Linked DNA regions of Sus scrofa. The protein of the gene in region 1 interacts with the protein of each later gene in a pairwise test. Links are inferred from orthologs where the notes say so. Each region holds a gene or a part of one and is shown in the gene's direction. Other genes may lie near its edges.

Evidence for each region. The genes of interacting proteins can lie anywhere in the genome.
Region 2: the proteins of PEX12 (region 1) and PEX10 interact in a two-hybrid assay, tested with the Homo sapiens proteins (4 studies listed by BioGRID, with this or other methods). The link is inferred for Sus scrofa from reciprocal best matches to the Homo sapiens genes PEX12 and PEX10.

What each region holds. Positions count from the first base shown.
Region 1 is NC_010454.4:39,930,071-39,934,913, forward strand, and holds the start of PEX12 (peroxisome assembly protein 12), read left to right. Parts: upstream 1-1,609; 5' UTR 1,610-3,082; coding exon 3,083-3,208; intron 3,209-3,769; coding exon 3,770-4,323; intron 4,324-4,843. UniProt on the Homo sapiens protein: Component of a retrotranslocation channel required for peroxisome organization by mediating export of the PEX5 receptor from peroxisomes to the cytosol, thereby promoting PEX5 recycling.
Region 2 is NC_010448.4:64,314,608-64,319,435, reverse strand, and holds the start of PEX10 (peroxisome biogenesis factor 10), read left to right. Parts: upstream 1-1,757; 5' UTR 1,758-1,866; coding exon 1,867-1,978; intron 1,979-2,897; coding exon 2,898-2,978; intron 2,979-3,313; coding exon 3,314-3,720; exon of another isoform or gene 3,721-4,799; coding exon 4,800-4,828.

The sequences.
Region 1 (4,843 bases):
AGCCTGGGAACTTCCATATGCCACAGGAGAGACCTTAAAAAGACAAAAAAAAAAAAAAAAAAAAAAGCAAGCAAGCAACTGGCAGAGAGAAGCCGAGATAAAATGTGAGGTTAGAAATGCTCTTCTCTTTGGTTACATAGGCCAATATAGGCCTTCTGTTTAAGCCAATTTGAATGGCCTCATTGTTCCCAGCTGATATCATCTCTTCCATTAAATTCACACCATATTGAACCTGATGACTCTTAATAACTTTAAATGCAATCAATTTTGGGGTCTTATTTATTACATCATAAACCTAAGAGTGGGATCTATGATTAGGTGTTTATTTTTTGTTGGCTGTAGTAATTGACTTTTTTTTTTTTAACTGCCTTTCCCTTTTCTCATGTGATAATGTCAGTTTATTTTTGGAATAGTCTCAATGGGCTATTAAGTTGTCTTGCCATCTTTTGTCTAAGAGTGAAACAGGGAGTGGTGAGGAAATCCGAACCAAGGTAGGTCACAAGGAATCTGAATTGTAAGTACAGGGACAGAAAGAAATTTGTTGAACCTCATTCACGGCAACAATGATGCCTAGATGAGACTTTGCTAATTCTTGCGAGAAACATCCAGTAGGGCTGTATAATTACTGTACTTTCAGAGTTGGCTTTCCTTATTTTGTTAGCTACTCCATATTCTTCCGATAATTTTTTTAGTTTAAATTAGCTGTTTTCTGTTGCTTGTAGCCAAAAACCATAACTGATACAAGTTTAACTAACTTCCCATTCATCTTAGTTGATGCTATTTCTCAGCTTTGTCTTTTTGCTGTTACTTAAGAAAAGCCCATTTGTAACAGCTACCTTTGATCACATATCTAATGCCAAGTGCTTTATACATTACTCCAGTCCTTAAAACTCTGTAAGGTGTTCCCCTTGTGTCACAGCAGAAATGAATCCAACTAGTATCCATGAGGATGTGGGTTCCATCCCTGGCCTTGCTCAGAGGGTCGGGGATCTGGCATTGCCATGACCTGTGGTGTAGGTCACAGACATGGCTGGGATTCCACGTTGCTGTGGCTGTGGTGTAGGCTGGCAGCTGTAGTTCTGATTTGACCCCTAGCCTGGGAATTTCTATATGCCACTGGTATAGCCCTAAAAAGAAAAAACAAAAAACAAAAAAAACCTCTATAAGGTAAAACTCTTACATTAACGTGACTTTCTCCTGCAGGCGTTTTAGCAGAATATAAAACACTTTGTAGAACTAAAATCAAGGTTAACTTGCAAGATTTTATTTCTCCTCTTTGGATAATAAACTTTGTTTTCCACCATTCTCATTCTGTGAAACAATTAACTACCTTTATAAGGTCCTCTAAGGCAGTAACTAATAACCTCCTATGGAGTTCCCATTGTGGCTCCGCGGAAACAAATCTGACCAGTAACCATGAGGACACATATTTGATGCCTAGCCTTCCTCAGTGGGTTAAGGATCCGGTGTTGCCCTGAGCTGCGGTGTAGGTCCAAAATGCAGCTCAGATCTGGTGTTGCGTGGCTGCCACGTAGGCCAGTGGCGACGGCTCCAATTCAACAACTAGCCTGGGAATCTCTATGTGCCCTGGGTGCCACCCTGAAACAAAACAAAACAAAACAAATCACCTTCTATTTCTGGTTATTTGGGGGGGGGGAGGGGGCGTTGGAGAGAGAAGGAGATGAACTCTAACTTCATATAAATTAAACCTGCAGCAGCAACTCAACCAAGGCAATTGCATACGATGTAAAAGTACGTTGCAAATCCTAAGGTTAATTACATTCCTTCTGGTATACAAACAACGAAAACTATCTTCTCTGTCAAGCCTCCCCAGTTCACGCTAGTTAGAATTCATCTGATTCGTACCCAATATTCATATCGCTAAGGTAACACAGTCGACTGTGTACGAGCGTAGGAACCAGTTTGAACTAGCGTACCAAGTGCTTACAGTTATGCTTGAAAGAACCTAATCTAGAAGACTCGTCCCAACTTGTGAGTAACAAAAGATCTCTTCTCATCCTAATCATTTTTTTTTCTTTAAATAGCAATTGGCGACCATAAAGCTAAGGCTTCTATCTCCAATTATGTCGCTTCAAATCCTCCCCTAAGGCAGCAGAAAACGGTGAACCACCACCCTCGCCACGAGTACAGCGAGAGCCTTCCATCTTCACATTCCCTTGCGTCCCTCGACTCCTAAACTCGATCGCCCCAGGTAACAAACGCCTCTGTGGGCTGAGTTCTGGCTCCAGCCGCCAAACGTTGGTGCGGCGCCCTCAACACCCTGCTAAAAAGACTCTGCAGAGAGAGATCGGAACCGTAACTTTCCCATGAGGCGGCAAAACAAAAACAACTAGGAAAAGTAAAACCAACCAGCGGAGAACGGCTCTGCAAGCAAAACCCCTAGCGCCTTCTTTACTTTCAGCAGGAGGCGGAAGCGGAAGTCCCAGTGAGGCCATAGAGATCTCTAGTTCCGGTCTCGCGGTCGCATTCCGGGCTAGAGCGCCTCGCCTCGCCTCCGCCAGCCTTCTCCAAGCCCCGTGGTCTATTTCCGGTTGCGGCTTCTGTCATAAAGCGGAGACCTGCTTTCAAACGCTGTGTCGCGGGTCTCTGGCGCTTCGCAGGAGTCAGCGCGCTAGGACGGGAACAGGCGGGGGGGCTGCACTGCTCACAACTGAGCCTGACCGAGCGGACCCTCAGAGCCGCCTGGCTTTTGGAGCCTTTAAGATTGAAGTCTATGATTGACAGCTTCCAGGACTGCGGCTCGAGAGTTCAGCGCTCCTTCGCCCGTACCTGTCCCCCTCTGTCACACGCTCTACCCTGTGAGGTGCAGCATTAATCAAGTCACCCCCTCCCACTCGCCACTGCCACCCGCGTCTGCGTCAACTTGGTTCTTAACCTCCTTCACCCAAGAACCCCTCCCCTCTGCCTCCGGAAAAGGTCTTTTTTTGCCTAGTTCTTGTAAAATTAAGGGGGTATCCTGCAGAAAGTTATCTTCAAAACTGACACCATCTGATACTCCCCAAAAGTTCATGCTTGCTAGGGAGTTTGTGTGCAAAGCAAAACCCAGTGCACACAGGAAACTATGGCTGAACATGGGGCTCACATCACAACTGCTTCTGTAGTGGATGACCAGCCATCCATCTTTGAAGTGGTAGCCCAGGAAAGTTTAATGACAGCAGTGAGACCTGCTCTTCAGCATGTGGTCAAGGTAAGGATTTAATTCCCTGAAACGTTTTAGAGATGTCTGGGTAAAAACTAAACCAACATTTTTGAATGTATTTGTTGGCCTAAGTTTTTTTTGTTTTGTCTTTTTGCCTTTTCTAGGGCTGATTCCCGTGGCACATGGAAGTTCCCAGGCTAGGGGTCTAATCAGAGCTGTAGCCACCGGCCTAGCCACAGCCACAGCAATGCAGGATTCCGAGCAGCGTCTGTGATCAACACCACAGCTCACGGCAATGCCGGATCCTTAACCACTGAGCAAGGCCAGGGATCGAACCTGCAACCTCATGGTTCCTAGTCGGATTCGTTAACCACTGCGCCAGCACAGGAACTCCTGTTGGCCTAAGTTTTGAAATAACCAGTTTGCATATAATTCATATCCTATGATTTAACTGTTACTCGGGTCTCTGTTTTGTGTTGAGTGTTGTGTGTACTCAATACCCAGCACTTAAGGAAGCTTAAAATAGAATTTAGAGGGGAAAAAAAAGGAATTATAAATACAAGGCATAGTATATGTGTAATTAAATTTCGTTTATTTATTTTGCTTTAGGTTCTTGCAGAATCAAATCCTGCCCACTATGGCTTCTTTTGGAGATGGTTTGATGAAATTTTTACCGTGCTGGATCTTTTGCTCCAGCAGCATTATCTGTCTAAAACCAGTGCCTCGTTTTCTGAAAACTTTTATGGCTTAAAGAGGATTGTAATGGGAGACACACAGAAGCTTCAGAGATTGGCCAGTGCTGGTCTCCCAAAGAGGCAGCTCTGGAAGTCAATTATGTTCCTGGTTCTTCTTCCCTATCTGAAAGTGAAGCTGGAGAAGCTAGTTTCCAGCCTGAGAGAAGAGGATGAATATTCCATCCATCCCCCTTCTTCCCGCTGGAAGCAATTTTACAGAGCCTTCCTGGCAGCCTACCCATTTGTTAACATGGCCTGGGAAGGCTGGTTTCTAGTACAACAGCTTCAGTACATCCTAGGAAAGGCTCAGCATCACTCACCACTGCTGAGTCTGGCTGGAGTTCGCCTTGGGAGGCTTACAGTTCATGATATACAAGCTCTGGAGCACAAACCAGCTGAAGCCAGCATGATGCAGCAACCTGCTGGGAGGTAAGACCTTAACATTTCCCCCAAATCTTTGATTGATAAATTCTAAAAGCTTATCCAAATTTTATGAAACTCACCTCTCTCAGTCCACGTGGAGGTATTTCATAAAATCAGAGAAAAAAATTCTTGTGTCCATAAAACAAGGACTGTCATCCCGGTAACCTTCCTCATACTGGCTACATGTTTGTCCACACTCGCTAAAGGAAACTGTGCTAGATGTGTATATATCTCAATCCTCATCACAACTCAATGAAATAAATGCATTAGGACCATTTAACACCTGAAGAAACTAAGTTCCAACAGTTAAGTACCTTGCCAAGGCCATACAACTAGAAGGAGCAGAGCTGAGAGTCAAGCCAGATCAATACAGTTCTAAAGACTGCTCTTAACCATGGTGCTATCCCGTTTCTAGTTAGTGTGTGTTCTCCTACAAGTTCACATATATTCCTGGAGAGTTCCCTGCATGCTCAGCAGTTAACGAACCCTAACGACTAGGATCCATGAGGATATGGGTTTGATCCCT
Region 2 (4,828 bases), on another chromosome or scaffold:
GCCAGTGAGAAGACAGGGGAGGATGCTGTCCTGGGCAGGGAGCTGGGACCTGCCAGTGGGGTGCGGTGCCCAGGGAAGTGCCCACCCCTCAGGCTTCCTGAAGGAGCCAGCTGGTGATCTTGAGAAAGGGGACAAAACCTCCTCCAGGGAGTTCGCATCGTGGCTCAGCAGTAACGAAGCCAACTAGTAGCCATGAGGATGAGGGTATGATCCCTGGCCTTGCTCCATGGGTGAAGGATCAGGCGTTGCTGTGAGCTGTGGTGTAGGTCACAGACGCAGCTCAGATCCCGTGTCTCGTGAGCTGTGGTGTAGGCCGGCACCTGTAGCTCCGAGTAGATCCCTAGCCTAGGAATTTCCATATGCCACAAGCGTAGACCTAAAAAAGACCAACAAATAAAAATAAAAAATAAAAAATACTCCAGCTCCAACTTGGTGCCAGTGGACACAGGCCAGGGCGTCTCTGTGGTCAGGAAGGAGCAGTGTGTTTCAGCCTGTTGGGTGAGGACTGACCAGAAATTTCTGAGGCATCAGTGTCTCCCCCAGGCCCCGCTTGTGAGTCTGTCCACCCCAGGCTGGAAGCCAAAGGAGCAGGCAGCCTCTGCGTTCAGGAAACAGGGTGTACCCACAGGCAGGGGTGCCACTCTGAAGGGACAGAGGCGCTTCATTAGCAGGAAGGACTGTGGGACCATCCAGCTTCTGCCCCTTCCCTCTAAGAGCTGCCTACAGCTGTGGGGCCCCGATAAGCTCTAGACTGTGCCCACAGCTCAATTCCAGGGGGTTGAGCTGCACCAGCCTGGGCACGTACCCACAGCTGATGCCGGGATACAGGAGCAGAAGTGAAGCCAAGAGCTGCAGCCTGTCTCAAGCCACGGCCTGCTGGCCAAAGTCACTGCTGGTGACTCCCCCACCCCCTAGGTTCACCTGCATTTTTTCTCTCCTGCTGGTCCCACAGCCCCCCCTTTGTGCCCACAGGACGGGGCCCTTTTTCACTGGGACCCCTCTGGTCTGGGGCACAGATGCAGATGTTGTGACCTGCTCCAGGCCCAGAGCCCTCAGGGTGCCCCACTTCCTCCTCCCACTGTCCTCCCCCGGGGCTCCTCCCTGGGTCCTCCTTGCAGCTCAAATCCAGCTGTGCCTGTGCCCAGGTGCTAGTCTCTCCTACCTCTGTCCCCCCTAGTGCATGGCCTCCCAAGGCCCCCAAGTCTCCCTCGGTCCCACTTATGAGAGCAGCTCAGAGAGGTCAGGGGTCTGCACTTGTGGGGCCTGGGGGGCCACCAGTATAAACACCGTAGTTCAAGAATCCGTACTCCTGGCCCCGCCCTGGGCCCCAGATCCTATTCCGCCAGCCCGCGGGGGGCGGGGGGTGGTCGCAGGGATTAGAGCACAAGGGATGCCAGCACCCCGCGGAGGGCACTGCAAGGAGAGGGAGCAACGCCCTCCTCACTTCCTGCCCCAGAGAGCGGACGACTGTCTCCGCACCGGGGAGGGCGCCCGCGCCGGCTCTGACGTTCCTCGCAATACCTGAGGGCTGTCCCCATGGCCCCTCGCCCCCATGCCCCGCCTATCCGCCCCTCCTGCTCTGCGCCTGCCCTCCCCCGGGCCGCGATCGCCCCGCACAGACCCGACCCGGCACAGAGCCGGGCGGGCTCGGCTTTGGCCTCTGCCGCCCCGCCCCGCCCCGCCCCGCCCCGCCCCGCCCCGCCCCGCCCCGCCGGCTCGGCCCCGCCCCGCGCGCTGTGACGCTCAAGGTCTGTGCCGCGCGCCACGCCGAGCCCGAGCCCCGGCCGTCATCTGGCGCCGCCGCGTGGGCGTGGCCGTCTCCGTGTCGCCGAGGCCGCAGGTCCCTTCGACTCCAAGCCCTCGGCGATGGCTCTTACGGCCGCCAGCCCCCCGGAGGTGGTCCGTGCGGCGCAGAAGGACGACTACTACCGCGGCGGGCTGCGGAGTGCGGCGGGCGACGCCCTGCACAGCCTGGCGGGTGAGGCCTCTGGGGGGGCCCGCGGGTGGTCCTGGGCGCCAGGCTGGGGGGCCAGGCGGGCGGACGAGCCCCAAACCCGTCGGCTCGGCCACCGCGGGCTCGGCCAGGCCCTGCGCGCCGCGCTGAGACCTGAGCTGCAGGAAGAAGCGAGCGCCTCGGTCTTCGCCCCCGGCTGCCGGGGGCGGGGTGGGGATCAGGCGCCAGCTGTGGGAGCGTCCACGGCTCTGGGGACACACGAAGGCCCCCGTTGAGCAGCGGCAGTGGAGCCCAGTGGACGGACGAAAGCCTGGGGTGGATTTTGGCCCACAGCTGGGCTGCTACTCGGAACAGCCGAGGCGAGGCCGGACCGTAGATTCGGGACTTGGGTGGCCGTCAGCAGGGAGGCACCCACTTGTGTATTTATTTTTGCTAATTTTTTGCCTTACTTTGTGTCAGACCCTGTTCTCTGTGCTTCAGAACATTAACTTCTTTTATTCTGAACACATCCCTGCAAGTTAGGACCTGTTACTGACAGGGAAATGTTGTAACTTGCCTGAGGTCACTGCCATTGTTGTGGGGAGCTAGGATTTGATGCTGGACGGTGGGCTCAGCTTGAGCTTCTGGTCACTGTACTACCCCGTCTGTCCTTGTGGCCCTTCTGGGCTCTGGAACAGTTGCCCAGGTGGGTCCTGGAGGGGGAGAGGGCTGTTGGTGGGTAGGTTCTCAGGACACTCAGCGGCCCAGGTGAGGCAGGTATGGATGGAGCAGAGTGGACAGCACAGAAGGCCAGGGAGAGAACAGAGTGTGGTTTAGACCAGTCTCAGCCATTGGAGCGGGGACTGGGCGGGGCCCTGGCAGCAGGAGAGAGAGCTGTTTCTAATTCTCACCAGCGCACCGCCTCACCCCCCGGCCCTCAGTAACAGGCTCTCTCTTCTCTCAGGTGCGAAGAAGTGGCTGGAGTGGAGGAGAGAGCTCGAGCTGGTGTCGGATGTAGCCTACTTCGGCCTCACCACACTTGCAGGTAGCAGCCCCAGGCGGGACCGAAGGACCCACGACACACCCAGAGGACAGGAGAGGGGCTGCCAGCCAAGGAAGGAGCTTCTGGAGGTGCTTCCTGGTGTCCCTGGCCCAGACCAGCCTCAGGGAAGCAGAGCCCCTTCCCTGGATGAGAGGCCAGGCCCAAACCCAGGCCAGGGCCCCTGGAAACTGAGAGTCCTGTCATGCAGGCCCCGGGACTGTGTGTCTGTGGCTGAACTCATGGCCCCGGGGGCCCGCCCTGAGGGAGCCTCGTCTTTTAGAGGAGGGGCGGCCGTGGTAGAGGGAAGGAGATTGCTGCCAGGTCCCCATCCCCCACAGGCTACCAGACCCTTGGGGAAGAGTACGTCAGCGTCGTCCAGGTGGACCCGTCCCAGAGCCGAGTGCCCTCCAGGCTGCGCCGCGGGATCCTGGTGGCTCTGCACACCGTCCTGCCCTACGTGCTGGACAAGGCCCTGCTCCACTTGGAGCACGAGCTGCAGGTGGCCGGCGACAGCACCCGGCCCACGCAGGGCAGCCTGGCGCCCACTGCACGCAGCCAGTCAGCCCCAAGGCGCTGGGTGCGCAGGCGGACGGCCACCCTGACGGAGCAGCAGCAGAGGGCGCTTCTGCAGGCCGCGGGGATGCTCAGGCAGGTCCTTGGCTGCCTCCGGCGGCTCCACGTTGCCTGGTTCTACATCCACGGTGCCTTCTACCACCTGGCCAAGAGGTTCACTGGCATCACCTATGTAAGTAACTGGTGCCACCTGGACCTGCTCGGTTCTGGCTCATCAGCAGGGAGCTGGCTTTTCCGGGCCTCTGTCCACGAGCAGTCACAGGCCTGGAGCCAGAACCTTCCATGGGAAACATGGGTTGTGTCGGCTCCATTTTGCCAAAAGGCCCACGGAAGTCTGCTTTCCATAAACCCTGAAGGTCGGGCTGGTCTGTCTTCCTGCAGCCTGCGCTTGAACTCTGTGCCAGGCCTGCCTCCCACGCCCCTTCCAGGCTGCCCGCCAGAGTCAGGTATAGGGACCCCGGTGGTGACCCCGCAGCAACCACGAGGCCACCCTGCTGCCAGCATCCCCACCGGTCTCCACCCTCCACCTGCAGATGCCCCTTCCCTTCGGGGTCTCAGCTGCCGCCCTTGCTTCCAGATTCACCCTGAAGGCCTCCCCAAGGGTCTGCAGGCGCCCCGCCCCAGGCCTCGCTGTGCCGGCTCTGTTGGTTGAGGTGTTTGCTGAGCTGCTGCAACAGACACAGGGTGCATCCAGTCAGGGTGTCAGGCTCCAGGCTCCAGCTGTGTGGCTGACCTGACTGTCCCCACTTCCAGCCAAGGCAAGGAGATGGACGTGCAGGGCAGGCCCCTCCCCCTCGAGGATGTGGCCTCAGTGTCCTCAGCTGCAGGAGGGGCCGGGTGGTGCCTCGCTCTGTTCCTTGGACAGGGCCACGCAGCCGTGTCTGCAACACTGAGCCCGCGCCTGTCCACTGGGTGTGCTCCTCAGGCTCGTTTGCCTCCGAGGTCTGGGTGCCTGGCCGTCCCCCTCACCCTGCGGTCCTCCCTGCAGCCAGTGTGACCTGCAGAGTCTGACCCCTGGGCTCTCATCCTCACTCAGCACTCGGCTCCCCGGGGGACCAACGGGGCCACCACTCAGTGCTCAGAGCCGGCAAGGAGCGTCTGCTCCCCGAGCAGCCAGAGGCCAGTGGTCCCTCTCCATCCTCCTTGTGCCAGAGGGTGGGCCAGGGCTTCATTCACCCGGGAGGCCTGGCCCTGGGGCGGTGGGTGCTTTGTGCAGCCGATCATGGGACTGTCCCTCCACGTCCTTGGCAGCTCCGCGTGCGCCGCCCGCCTGCCGAGGA